Linked DNA regions of Stegostoma tigrinum. The protein of the gene in region 1 interacts with the protein of each later gene in a pairwise test. Links are inferred from orthologs where the notes say so. Each region holds a gene or a part of one and is shown on either strand. Other genes may lie near its edges.

Region 1 (7,224 bases):
TGGACATCAGTAAGTAACAAATATTGGCTGATTTACTCTCAAGCTTTGGCTAATGATATCCATGACTGAGAGCTGTTACTCTTTTGTATCTGATATGATGTCAAAATGATGAATACGTTTCACTGTGGGTGATGAATTTTACCGCTGGGTTAGAAGTCAAATTAATTACCACAATGACAGCATTTCTATTAATTTGGCCCAAGTACTCTCCCCAATCTCCCACTGAACTGGCCTGCCTTACAACTGGTGATATTTATCGACAACAAGAACAGAAGTTGTTGGGAAAGCTCAGCAAATCTGCAGCATCTGTGGAGAGAAATCAGAATTAATATTTTGGGTCCCACTGGTGCTTCCTCAAAATGGAACTGGAGCCGAAGCATTAACTCTGATTTCTTTCCACAGATGTTTCCAGACCTGTTGCGCTTCTCCAACAATTTCTGTTCTTGTTTCTGATTTCCAGCATCCGCACTTCTTTTCAGCTTTAATTTGATATTTACAGTGATTTAATTTAACATCATTGAAATAGAATCATGAGAATTATACCATCACAACAACCTTGCTGTGAAAGATAGCCATTGCCCGGCCAAGAGTGATGGGATTCAGCGATGGGAGGGCGACAGGGTTAGGGGATGAGATTGGAGAGAGCTAATCATGAGTGTGTTGGCTTATATCTACCTTCCACCACCAGTCAGTTGACTTTCAGCCATTGATGCCAGTTCAGTGCCCAAATTGCAAACTCAGCAGAGCACAGTAGCATCAACCAAGACGCCCTTAGCAACTAGTTCTGCTGGAGCTCTGCCAGAGACCTTGAGGCTTGTCTGCAATATGTCCTTCTAAAACTGGAAAGGTGCACAATGTATTTTAGGAGAAAGGAGAATCGTGTAGTTTTTTTTACAAAAGAAAGTTTTTATATCCCTCTCTTTGTAAGTAACAGTACACTATTCATTTCAAGAATAACTCCAACTTCAAGCAAGTAGCCTTTGCAATTAGTTATGTGCTGTATGCAGAACTTTCTCCTTGCCTCTGTGAGACTACAGTGTTTCATTTTTTAAAAAATATATTTTGTCTGATATGCTGTAAACAAGATTAGTTGGGGGTTGGGGATATAGGGAGACCCATCTGGCTGGGTCATTGTTGAAGGGCAGTAGGAAACGTTGATAGTTTTTGCAGCTGAACAAAGAGCGCTGAGGAGTGCAAAGAGGAGACTCAGACAGAGTGTCGCCAGGCTGAATCTCTCCCACAAACTCACTTCTTTCCCCTATTGTTCTAACTGCCCTGCAGTCTCGGGCACAGCCTGTGAGCCATGACCTGAAACAGGAACAGCAAAATGCAATCGGACGTGAAAGTTAAGATTTCAGTTTTCAAAGCTGGAAGGGAGAAAAAACTGGAAGAAAACTTCAACGTTGCACGAATTAACACATTTTATCATTAACCAAGTCAAATTCTGTTAACAGTCCTATTTAACACCAGTTTTATCACTTTAGTGGCAATTTTAATATATATTGTATTATTTATACATATGACAATTTTTGTGTTTTTACGAGTAGATCTCAAGGAGAATTGCGAGTAAATGCACAAGAATTTGGAAATACAGTTGCAGAAATTTAGCATAATAAACGGGGACAGTAATTCCATACAAAAATACATTTAATCTAAACTTCTCATCAGCGTGGCAACTTCATTCCACTTGTATATTTTAAACCTAAATATGCTTCTAACCTTCTGTTTTGGATGCAGTGAAATTGTTACACATGGGGACATAGTCTGACTTCAAAAGTACATTTTAGAAGAAAGGTTTAGATCATATGCTATTTTTATCTCTGTGTTACAAGCAAATTTGGACAATGTGATTTCTCCATTTAGTACAAAAAAGGGCCAGTTTAGAAACACTTACCCACAAACCTAATTCATAAAACACAAAGTCAGTAATAATCAGGCATTAGGTACAGTCAGACCCACACTCCCAACCATAAAAAATGAATCAGGGCTATTCTGTAATATATCCATTCCATCTTCCCAGGGCTAGGCAACACAAGCAGATGTGATCTAAAATACCCGGTCCTCCCCCTTAAAATGTGTTGTCAAATTGTGTCCGTATGGGAACATGTACAAAATATATGTTGCAGCAATAGCCAACTATTTAAACACAGAATGCATGTTTTAAAACGTGTAGCCGGACTACAAGAGGAATATATCTATAGGTAATCTCTTTATAATGTGTTAACTGCTGTCCTGCAGTGCTAGAGCTTTTGCAGCTGGTTTATGTATTGCAATGCAGATATTGCTTTCAATGGAGAATCTCTCTCTCTCTCTGTGTGTATATTCCCGAAACCCTTTCCCTCTCTCCACCTCCTCCGAGTCTAGCTCCAAGCGTTTAGCAACTGCAAGCATTCCAACCATGCGAACTCCCTCCCCCCCCAAAAAAAACACAAGCAACAATACGGCTTTGCAGGTGTGCGGGTGTAAACTTTTTAAGAGGGGTTAAGGTGACAAATTAAAGGGCGATTTATCAGGGTGCAGATGATTGCCAGTTAATTGCAGGCTGTTCGGCGCCCTTGTAGTGCGGGTGATTGGCGTGTGGGTCGCCATGGCGACCGCCTGCACGGCGCCAGCTTGACAGGCGTCAAGGCTGTATGAATGGGTGACGTCACGGCCCTGGCGCCTGCCAGTCTGGAGGCTGCTTTTGGGGGGAGGAGGGAGGGACACATACACCAGTCCCTGGGAGTGCAAGAAAAGGAAAAAAAAATGCATCTTCACCTCCCTCGACAAAAAGTGCACAGTATCTGTTGGAAAAATTCCTTCTTCCTCCCCAAATCTGCACAGATTTAAAAACGCTTGCTTCTTACCAGTTTGCATCAAAAAATGACAAGCCTCCGCGGTAATCCCAGGATAAGCCTTTTCACAGTTTCATTTCACAGTTTATTTTCTCTGTTCTAAATGTTTCCATGCATCCCCTCATCTAATTTTATTTTCTCCCTCTCCCAATTCCTGCTTTTAAAATGCATATACTGTAATCTTTGGAAAATTCATTCATTCTCCTTCCCCCCCGTTTCTCTGAATTTGTATTTACCCCTAAATTCCCTTGTTGAAATGCACATAATCACTGGAAGATTCCTCTGTTCTACACCCCCATCTCACTTTCCCTCTTTAAATTTATTATTCCACCCGTTTTTAAATGCACATAATCTGGAAAATTCCTTAATTATGTCCCCTTTACTGTAGATTTGTTATTGGCTCCCAGTTTGCCCCTTAGAAATTTAAAAATCCTTCCATTTTCCCTCCCCCTTATTTAAAAATACTTGTTACAAGTTGCAAACAAGAACAAAATTGCAGCAATAGCAATTAGATCTTTCAGGGAAATCTCTTTCACATTGATCATCTACTTATTCCCCTCTATATTTTTTATTGCCGGCCCCATTTCTTTTCTCTAAACTTGTCACTGCTCTCAGTTTTCCCCTTTTCTGTGGAAAATCCCTTCATTCTCTTTTTAAAGAAACTTGTTACAAAAAGTCAGATAGAAGCACTTCAATAGTGGTTAGTGTCAACTTTTTGACAGTTTAATCATTGTTTTTATCTCTCAAGTTTAACTGCCCTCCTCTGAACTTTGTTATTGCTCCCTCTCTAAATTCCCATTTAGAATTACACCAAATATCTGGAAAATACCTTCATTTTCCTTCTTACAAATTGCAAAACAAAAATGCCTCTCAAGTGATTAATCTTCCACGGATAACATTGTGCTGTTTAATCATTCATTTTTCGTCTAAACTTTAACTACACTCCCCTCTAAAAAAGGTTATTTAGAAAAGCACTGAATCTGTGGAAAAAATGTTTCATTTCCCCTCAAGCTTACTTATTACTGATAGGAAAAATAAAAGTGTTTCAAAAAGTTATTTCACTGTTTAAATAATATTTTTCCTCTTAACTATAACTGTCCCCTTTTAAAACTTTGTTAAGCCTTAGCTCTGACATCTTGTTTTGTAAGGACAAGACAAAAACGTTTAGTTTTTAAAAAGTTTTAACTGAATAAGTTGACAGTTTTAACAACAAGAAGTTTACTGTGTGATTTTTGCTGTTAGATTCGTTTTGAATTTATATCGATCCTGGAAGTTATTCACAGTAATATAACACAATTTACGTAAAACGATAAATCCACTTTCCCCACGTCTATTTGGTTAAATTCCTCGTGGAGTTTACTTTTCTTGAATATAAATCTTAAAGCAAACATTTTAAACATTTTAACAGGAATGAAAGGGTTTTTAACTTAATGTAACGTCTCCTTACAGTCCAAAGATCGTCAAGCACTAGCTTCACCAAATTCCTCTATATTCTGTTTTGCAACATTCCGTTACATTTCAATACTTTCTAAATCTCTGCAGATCAATCTGTATTGCAATGCAAATACTGTTGTGTTGCGCACTTGGGATGGCAACATGATGCAACTTCAATTTTGCATTTTAATTTGTGAAGAGGAAAAATGTTTAGTCCCAGTTGAGATTTCAACTAGTTATTTTTGGCTAGTTATTCCCTGGTAATGCGTGCAGGGAAAAAAAAACGAGAAATCATTCAGAACCTTCAGTGAGCATCTGATGAGTTTACATTCTCATGAATTATGTCCCCACCCACGCCCTGGGGCGACCCCCACCTGCCGACCCCACTAGATACAAGCCAGCTGGATTCCCACATCTTCAGCAAAATATGTACTTTTTTCTCCCATTGAGGTCCCCCCCCCCCAAAATGCCCCCACTCGGCCAACTCTTGACAGATTTCAAAAGCTTGATGCAAACCAGGGTTCTCCATTGGCACACGGGACTGTAAACCACGCCTCATTTTGTTGCTGAAATTAGTTGTCATTTGCTGGGAGACATGGGCCTGGATTTCAGGATTTGAGAGACGCCCATTTTTTTCAGTGGAGCATAAAAGCTGACCGATAGCTCCAGAGTTGTCACAGCGATTTCTCTACTTCATCAGGTTTTTGGTGGTGTTTCTCCTCAACAAACGGATAATGAAAGTGGTCAGTGCCGCCTGCTCGCTCAAGCGCCAGGGCTGCACCCAGGAAGTGGTGCGCTGCCTGTCGGAGCAAAGCATCGCGATCGCTAAGTACAAAGTGTCCCCGCTCCTGGACGAGCAGATGAGCATGTTCCTGTACGACATGAACGGCTGCTACACCAAGCTGAAGGAACTGGTCCCCACGCTCCCCCAGAACAAAAAAGTCAGCAAAGTGGAGATCCTGCAGCATGTCATCGATTATATCTGGGACTTGCAGCTCGAGTTGGACGATCAGTCGGGAATGGGTTGTCAGGCAGCCGCTGGAACCGCAGGCCAGTCTCGGACACCTCTCAGTGCAGATGTTACAGGATTGTCAGCGGAGGTGAATACTGCTAATAAGTCCATGTATTAAATAATGCATTCAAAAAGTTAAGGCACTTAGTTAATGCTTAAAAGTAATCTAAGAAAATAGTTATGGTAATATTATTACTTACTTTTAGAAACCTTTAGTGTTTTAAATATTATCAAATGTGCACTTTAGCCTTATTATTTTGGAATAGATTTTAACTTACTTTGAGCGTACACGCCTACCTGGGATTGGACATCTGTTTTATTAATAGTGTTAATAACGTGAAGTAATTTCTGGGAAACTTATTTCCCTGTACACTCATCAAATAAGTTGAAAAAGAGAATAGTTCTCGCAGTATTGTGATTGGCAAGTTGACTTAACGATCCCCATTTTTTTTTCCTCCAATCTTTAGGCTCCCTGTGTGAGCAGTGATGACAGAATTCTGTGTCGCTGAATGGATTCACTTTACTTGCAGGTATGTACAAGATTTGTAACCACTTCCCAAGCGGAACTCGACTTGTCCCTCGTGTGAGGGTCAGGTTTCTTGGGCTTTGCTTGAACAATCGAAAGGCTGAAATCTGAACCCAAGTTCTCTGACAGTGTTGGCTAAAGTCGTGGCATCTCAGTGCTTACCGAGCTGTTCCAGTGCAATGGCGTGTTTCATATTGTTCTGTCTTTAATCTTGCGAATGGAAAGCATTTTAATTTTTTCTGTTTTCCCCGTCTCTATTTCAGGTATTCCAGATGCTAAAATATAACATGATCCGGTGGTGCTGGATTAACAGTACATCCATCCCGCAGTCCCTGGGAGAGGGAAAAGAGGAGAGCTGGAAGAAATTAAAATAGTCAGTGCTCCTGAGATGCTGCTTGGCCTGCTGTGTTCATCCAGCCTCATTTTATTATCATGTTATTGGGACTAATGTCTTTGATCACGGCACCAAGCGAGAGCAGATCTTGAGTTGATCGCCAGGCTCCAGGACTCTCGGCCCTTTTATTTTAGTCTTCCATCTGAACCCAGGTGGACGCGGGAACTAGGCGGAAGCACAGCAAAGTTTAGTAACTCTTCCTAGCGACGTGCCTAGCAACAGATTTAACTGCGTATAGCCGCGCCATCTCTTCTCAAAATGTGTTGTGTGCGCGCGAAATGCCACTACTCCACAGGCCATTAACGAGACACGCTGGACTCTAGAATTGAGATTGTATATTGCATCCTTAGAGATCTATGGGGGTGATTCAGTTGTAAGTTTTATACTTTGTAAGTGTGTATTGAATTGTTTACAACAATGTTGTACTAAAGATGATTTTTTTATTGATTTTTTTGACGAATTGATTAAAATAAAAACTAGTCAAATAATTAAACCTTGTTTTTTTGTGTGTGTACTTTCTGACATTACAAGGGCTCGAAAGAGGTGCACAGCGCCCAAAGAGTTTTAATGTAGCGACTCTCACTACACCCAGGGTCGGTGTAAAGCAATTAATGTTCCAGATTTCGTCAAATAATGAGGGATGTAGAGCGGCGATGCCGTTAATAGCGGCCCATATTCTGATTTATTAGCCCTTGACCGAAATAAATCATTTTAATGAAATGGGGGGGGGGTAGACTTTAACCATGCTGAGTGATTTCAGAAGCATGTTTTGGATGAGCGTAGCAAAATGACAAGCTCTGCTAGTGACGGCTACTCAAAAAAAACACGGTGAGTAATGGGTATGACGATTGCAGCTTTGCTCCCTGGCTGTAATAACCCGGTGAGGGAGAGACCGGAAACATTCACTTAGAATAGCTGAAAGCGCTTTGAAGCAGATGTGAGAAAGGGGGTGTTACCACAAGCCAATCTGCCAGGCACCGTACATAATTAATTTGCACAAGATTACTCCGGGAAAGCAGTTAAA
Region 2 (7,565 bases), on another chromosome or scaffold:
CTGTGTGCTGAACAATTTTCTATCCATCTCAATATACTACCTCCAATCCTATGAGCTTCAATTTTACACATTGATTTCTTACATGGGATTGCACTAATACCTAAAAAAGAATCATTTGTTGGAATATATGGAAATGTGGTAGAGCAAGGATGGCTTCCACAAAGAGTCTGAATAGGTATGATGGTTCAAAAGACACCTTCTCTGCGTAAGATTCTTTTTGGCCAGGATGGATTAATTTCACTGCAGAAGTGTGGGAACTTTTTAAGTATACAATTATGATATTTATAGGAATAATTAAAGGTTTCACAGAATAACAGCATGCCTGATGTAATTGAGTTAATTCTGAAATTTTTACGCATTTTTCTGTGAATGTCCATTTCTTCTTAGTAGTGTGTCAGATCCATTGTTAGCAGATATTTCAATACTCCTGAATTAATTTCTAATGTTCAGGGGAATCCCAGACATTTGCAAGGGCCAGTTAAACATACAGAATGGAGAATGGTTCGCAACTCTCTGAATATTATCACAACAATGATTGTTAGGTGGCTGTTTAATTATTGAGTTTTGAGATCTCTCAGTAAACAGTTAAAGTTGCAACGTGAGAAATATCTTAATTACAGTATTAATCATGCTTTCGAGAAATGTCAAGAAAAACTGTTTTTGAAAACATTTTAAAATGCATTTGACTTCTTGTACCAATAAATAGTAACTTTGGGTTGCAGAAATTTGAGGAAAATAAATAGTCCTTCTTAATTTGACAGGGGAAATTATTCACCTACTCTTGATAATTACCTGCCATTGTGAACTATTAAAACTTGATTTGAAAAATGGCAGTACTTGTTTCTTAGTTATGTTTAAAGGTTTTAAAGGTCATTATCCCATGTCTGCTGTAGCACAATGCCTTATTAATATACCTTTCTAACTCCAGTTTACAACTGCAGTGTCTTCAGCACCATTATTGGATAAGACTTATAACACTTGCTAATGATTGCTGCAAACATTCATTATTAATAGACAAAAACAACTCTTTAGAAACAAACTCTGGCATTTCTAACCTTGCCTCAGCCTAGAGATGTTTTAAAAATCTCTTGAAAAAGTTGTTTGGTATTAATTATGATGATTAGTATCTGATTTTATGTCCAAAGAAAACACACCTGATATATGCAAATGACTAGTACTGGTGTACACAAGATCAGCGATTAGGATTCAATGTATGCTTTGTCCAGAGGGATTTGATTGCAAAATTCTCTGCTGAAAAACGAATGAAAATGATTCGAGTTGGAGATCATATCTGCCGTCCACAGCGTTTACAGAAAGAACCAGGGTTTCGTTTTCGTAATCTCTAATGTTTAACCTGAAAAGGGATTATTTATTTGGATTTTAAACACAGCTCAGTCATGATTATTTCAAAAACCAACCAGATAGGCCATCACAAACCTACAGCGTTCCTGATCCGAAATTTAATTAACTAGTGGCGGTAACAACAAAAATAATTCGAGGTAAATCTCGGAATTAATGTTCAGACTATGTTTGATGGCAGACTGATGCATTTACTGCAAAAGTCTGCAAACCTCCGTTCAACCCTGTGCCATGTTTTGAGAGACCATGCTGAAAAGACACAACGGTCTCATCAGTAATTCCTTGTTGGAGCGTTTAGTGACAAACAGAAGTTAGTTCACTCATTAATTTTCAATTTCTGTTGGCTAGCAGTGATGTTGGATGTCTTTTTTTTAAATCAGTTCGGATTCCAGGGTGGGAGCCCAACGTGAGTTCATAGAATTGCCAGACCCACGCATCCTTCCAACGTATTGAGTTTCCTCACTAGCCAGATAACATTCAGACTTTGCACGGCAGTCCGGATGAACCAGTACTGTGAAGTCAGATCACACTGGCCACTGTACAAGTGTTCGCGTTGTACAATGAGAACCCCACTTTAGATCCATATGTTGATTACATGTTATAAGCGCAGTAGTTTGCTGGCTCCAAACACGGATTTAAACAGAAACGCACGTAACTTACAAAAAATACTTTAATAATCATGTAAATTCGGTAAAAAAAATCGCTGTGCAATTGGAACATGGGTGGCCAACCATGCACTCTGCGCCAAGCGGCTGGTCGGGTTTGCGCTTCAAAAGAAAAATGTAGGAGATTTTCCCCATATGGGAGTCTTGAAGAAATTTGCTTTGATCTCACTTGGAAGGCGGTTAGAACAGCAAAACTCAATGTCTTCTTCAGCTGTCTTTCTACTGAGTCCAAGTCAAGTACTAAACGGATTGAATGCAGGCCTGAATGTTAATTCGGGAGACATGGCTAAAGGCCGCGAACACAAGTATTCAAGCGTTCTGACAGATGTAATGCAAATCTGGCTGCAGCCCCCATGAAAGTTAGATCGCGCAATGTGCAGTAACTTGTGTTTTAATTTCAGACCGATCGAGCATGTCCAAATTGTTCAAATAGGATGCGGACGAAAATCGCGAGGCAAAGACATTCAAATAATCTTTGAGACACTTAGTTTTACAGGGAGCATGTCGAGTTATTTTATAGTGCAAACGGTTAAACACGTCCAACAACGGTTGTGGATTCAGCCTCCTAAGACTAACGAAAAGAGCAATAGTGTTTGCACAACCATTAAACTCTTGTCAGTAATTTGCTTTATGTACGGCGTCTCAATACATAACCTTGTCTAAAGTAACATATCGATTTTGTGGAGAAAACGAATAGAAGTCTTTCTGATTTTGGTGTTCAAATGTTGAATGTGTTGGTAAGGTTTGATCTTGCCGTCTAAACTACCACTGTAAGACTGTGTTTGTAGGGAGGCTTTCGATGAGAATTTCAGCACCTCAATTCTCCACTCAGCAAAGAGTAAGTCAACTTCCTCAACAACCTACTGGTCTGGATGTTGCGCGTTCACCCTCACTGTTCTAAGGCTTTTGCTTGGTCTTGCTTCGTGTTTTGATAACGGCCATCGAAAAACATACCAAGTTGCTGCTGTAAAGTTGCGCTTCCTTAAAACCACCGTTACTTGTCCCAAAGGAGTTCCAAGTGTTGCTAGAGTATTCAGTGTAACCTTATTACACAAAAAGGCTAGCCACTTTAAAGCAGGTTAAGGAGCATTTGAACAAACAGTTCTCAATGTGTTTAAATACTTGCCAGCATGTTGTATTTTGACGCGGTTTTGCTGTTTTTCAAATAATGAACTGGTGCGTGCTAACAGTTCGTCATGTGTTTAAACTAAGGTAAGTGAGAATGAAAATAAACCAACTCAGTAAATTTGACAGAAAATTCAACAAATGAAACAATATTGCACCCAAATGGCGCTCCATTGACTTTTCGGTTTCGCTAACCACGAATTCCCGTCGTTGCGAATTTGACGACCACTTAAGAGCTTCGTTGACCCGTTGACACTTCGGGAGTGTTTGGTCAGGACGGAGTGTGAATTTGCCTGACACTTTGGTGAGGGAAAACCTTGCGCCTTAAAGGAAGCTGGGATAGGTGCAGCTGGCCCGCATCTGTAACGGTGTGAATTTGCTTCAGCCGTGAAATTAGCATACCCTGGGGAGCAGTAAAACTGCTGCATTACAATCTGCAGCCTGAGAAGCAGCGTGCCTGAAGGTGGGGCAGGTTTGGTCTAACTCGCACTCTTCAGGAGTGCTACACTATTGCTGAAAACACATGTGGGCTTAAAGAGAAAGCCGCAACCTCATGGCGTGTTTTGTTGCGGAGGCGCACAGAAAAAGTTAGCTATTCCAACCATTTGAAATCAGTGTTCCCGGATTTCTATGAATAAAACCCCAAAGCGATCAGCAATTACATGAGTTGATGTAATTTCACATGTTGACATTTTAAGCGACTCCTGCCGGGAGGTTATGCTGACAAGCTTTTAGCTGCACGTCGCTCGCCTCCCGGCCAAAGTTGAAACGCTGCTGGTCGGAGAAACAGAATTACAACTAGGAAATCTACCCAACGGTGGTAAAGTGACCCAGCCTCTGTGTCAATCCTGCTGATTGTGAATTCTGAAATCTAGCATCGTATGCAACAAACTAGCTTTTCTTAAACAGAAATCGGTCAATGGGCACGAACGGGAATAAAACCTCAGTGGATGCATTAAGTAAATTATAGAGTCGAGCAGCCGATACACCCGGCAACGGGTTACTGACCATTATAATGTCTCCGTGCCTTCGAACAAACAGATTTTATGGATTCTTTATGTTATTTGCATCTTATTAGGTTTTCAGCATAAATCTGTTAAAACGGAGAGCGATAATTAATTTTCTGATTTGTTTAACCCTGGTCCAGGAGTGATTGTCTTGCCTGATGGCTCAATGTCGGTTTCATTTTGCGCAAAGTCCTTTTTGTCTTGTGGGAGGAGACCTTCCAGGCCCAACAAGGGTTAAAGAGATGCCCCATGGGACGGATCTAGGGTTAATGACCGGGTGGGGGGGTGGGGGGATACTGGATGTCAGTTGTGTTACAGACCCCAGAGTGTGTATATATAGAGCTCTTCTATATACGTTCGGGGCTCTTGTCTCTGACCCTGACCGAGATTTGTCTTTAAAACTCCATCGACTAGTTTGATTATATCGAGAGCTTGGGCGAGTTCTGCGCTTCAGCCAAACCAGTTGGATTCGCCATTATGGATATTATGGTCGACTGCCACTTCTCTCCCTCCGACCTGTTTTATGATCATTCTTGCCTCTCGTCGCCCGAGGAGGCAGAGTTTGCGGATGAGTTTGAGCACGGCGCACTTGCGTTTCGAGATAATAAACTGGAGTCCGGCGAACCTGAAGAAGAGAAACATGTCAGGGCCCCGAGCAGCCACCACCAGGCTGGGGGCCACTGTCTCCTCTGGGCTTGCAAAGCCTGCAAACGTAAAAGCTCCAGCACTGACAGGAGAAAGGCGGCCACCATGAGGGAAAGGAGGAGGCTTAAGAAAGTGAACCAGGCTTTCGAGACGCTGAAGAGGTGCACCAGCTCCAATCCGAACCAGAGGCTGCCTAAAGTGGAGATCTTGAGGAACGCGATCAGTTACATCGAGAGTCTTCAGGAGCTCCTGAGGGAACAAGTGGCGAATTATTACAGCCTCCCAGACAATGTCAACTCAGAGCCTGGAAGTCCCACGTCCAACTGCTCGGACGAAATGGTAAGCAACGATTTAATAATTCCCATCCCCCTTCTCTAATGTACACAGAATTAATGCGCATATCTATTTTTGCAGAATTAAAAGAAAATGCGCTACAGGATTGTTGTCCGTATTTAAGAGGAACGAAGTGAAACCTCTGGTTCAGAATCATTCCGTTTGATTCATCTGTTTGTCTCGGAACCCTCCGTCATTTCTATGATCGACATACTCGCTTGGCCTGGCAGATAACGTGCGGCGTGTCTGTTTTTGACATTAGCTCAGTGTGTTTCTTTGTATTACTAATGCGAGTCGAGAACATCTTGCCCGTAAAGTTTTCTTCTTTGCATCCTGAAGTAAAATCTGGTCTGTACGAGTGCCTAAACTATCGATTACAAGTCTGTTCGTTAAATTGGCCGTGTCATTTCATCAGGACTTGGTGGCTGGGCCTCCCCCCCCCCCCCACTTCTGATAAAGAATGATGAACTTTGCCTGAGCGTGTATAAGGAAACGTTTCACCATTTCATTCTTTTGTCCGACATCTGCCTTCATGTGTTCGTGTAAGATCTGGAATGATACCAGGCTTCACAAATTGGCGTTTAAAATGGGCTGCAATGAATAACAAACGGAACTCGTTGTTACATTAAGGTCAAAGAGGTTGATTTTACCAAATGGCCTTTCAATCTTAAATAATCGTGAACCAACTAATGGAGCAATTATCAAAATACTTTATAAAAGAACAGATACGGTCCCTTTAAAAGCAAATTGTCCCTCAATACGGTCCAAGAGATGGTCCAAGCTCAATGTAAGTAATTAACAATAAGACTGTTTATTCAGGTGCAAGCAGCATTTCAATTCGCATATCAGTAAATTGATTTTCGGTTACTTTTCCCAAGTAACATCAAAATAGCTGCACTGTGCACTGCCCCGACCAGACCGGTCTTTATCCATGTTTTAACTCTGTTGAGTGTTTGGGTGCTCACAAGGCGGCATGAGAGAAACCGCGAAGGATGAGGCCAGCAATGAGGATGGCCAAAAAGTTGCATTCGCAGTTGTCGGACATCTTTCTGTGATTCATTTCGTATATTAATGGGGGGGGGGGGGGGGGGGAGAGGAGCTAAACAACTTCATTAGTACTTGCTGGAAATTAGATGAAATGTTCTCTGTAGCTCAGGGTTTGACTTAGATGGCGCCTGGGTCTCATTATGTGTGACCGACTGCTTCTTCTCGCCACTTCAGTCAAAGTTGCTGCCACACACATTGATCTCTTTGGAAGCGGGGATGATGACTTTCCCACCTCTGCACATTCTGCTCTCCACAGGAGCTGAAAGCAGCAGCAAACTGAAGCCTGTGTTATTTGAAACAACAACTAGTGAAACATTCTTACAGCACTACGTTTTTGACTATCAGAGCCAAAGCTTTAATATGAAGTCAGTACGGGAAAATCTGACCTGGCACAATTAATGTAGCTTCCGTTAACTGCAGAGACATGCAATTCATTTTCCATGGATAACACAATGCACATTGCTATACAGGCATACAGACAGACCTCATGCTTTATGTGAGAAAACCATGGTGTGGCAAAGAAACCAACTATGTCTAATCAACAGATGGGTTTATTTCCGTCCGGGGTAATCATTGTTTTACTCATTCAAGCCTTCTGACGCGCACAGTATAAAGTCATTTGTTACGATGAATTTATATAAAGGTTTCAGTGAAAGGTTTGGAGGATTTTTACTTTGATTTCATTTGTCTTTGCAGATGGGATGCAACAGCCCCGTCTGGTCTAGGAGGAACATCAGTTTTGACCGCATTTATTGTTCGGAATTACAGAACGGTACATTTTAACGATTTTTGTGAAATCATTTTACAGTTCATCACAAGTCTACCTTGAAACTGACGAAATTAGATATTAACTCCTGAGGCGCAGTTTATGATGACAAGTACACGAGGCTCTCCAGTTAAAGAAGCTATTAATTGTAGATTGTTTCTTAACCCACGGTCGAAGTGACAGCTTCTAGTTTGAACCTTTCCCATTGTAAAGCAATAACTGTTTTAAATCTATACTCATTACTTGAGGTCCTTCGCACAGTAGACCCAAACAAAATACAGCCAGTAGTACAGTTTATTTCCACGAAAAGTTTGAGAGAATACTGAACGCGGCAGAGTGAAACAGCGGGTATTCCTGAATGGGTCTGGGAATCTGTTTTATTTTCACGTGATTATTTTTAAAATGAGAGCACTTGGCTCACAGTAGCCTTTTTTTAAATAATGCAATGGTTACTGTCGTAAAGACCAGCGACATTTTAAGTTTAACAAATGTGTATGAGGGAACAAATAAGGGCACATTGCTTTAAGATAACGACTAAGAATGAAGAGAGTTCTACATATGTATAAAGTATGTTTTTATGTTGTTTACATATTTGTTGAGGTCTGCGCACTTATCGCC

What was found.
Region 2: the proteins of id1 (region 1) and myf5 interact in binary tests that used the Homo sapiens proteins (3 or more experiments, as listed by UniProt). The link is inferred for Stegostoma tigrinum from reciprocal best matches to the Homo sapiens genes ID1 and MYF5.

The regions. Positions count from the first base shown.
Region 1 is NC_081372.1:11,871,403-11,878,626, reverse strand, and holds id1 (DNA-binding protein inhibitor ID-1), read left to right. Parts: upstream 1-4,926; 5' UTR 4,927-5,002; coding exon 5,003-5,368; intron 5,369-5,747; coding exon 5,748-5,789; 3' UTR 5,790-5,810; intron 5,811-6,069; 3' UTR 6,070-6,693; downstream 6,694-7,224. UniProt on the Homo sapiens protein: Transcriptional regulator (lacking a basic DNA binding domain) which negatively regulates the basic helix-loop-helix (bHLH) transcription factors by forming heterodimers and inhibiting their DNA binding and transcriptional activity.
Region 2 is NC_081371.1:40,044,059-40,051,623, forward strand, and holds the start of myf5 (myogenic factor 5), read left to right. Parts: upstream 1-4,496; 5' UTR 4,497-4,633; coding exon 4,634-5,140; intron 5,141-5,215; coding exon of another isoform or gene 5,216-5,221; exon of another isoform or gene 5,222-5,893; intron 5,894-6,877; coding exon 6,878-6,953; intron 6,954-7,565.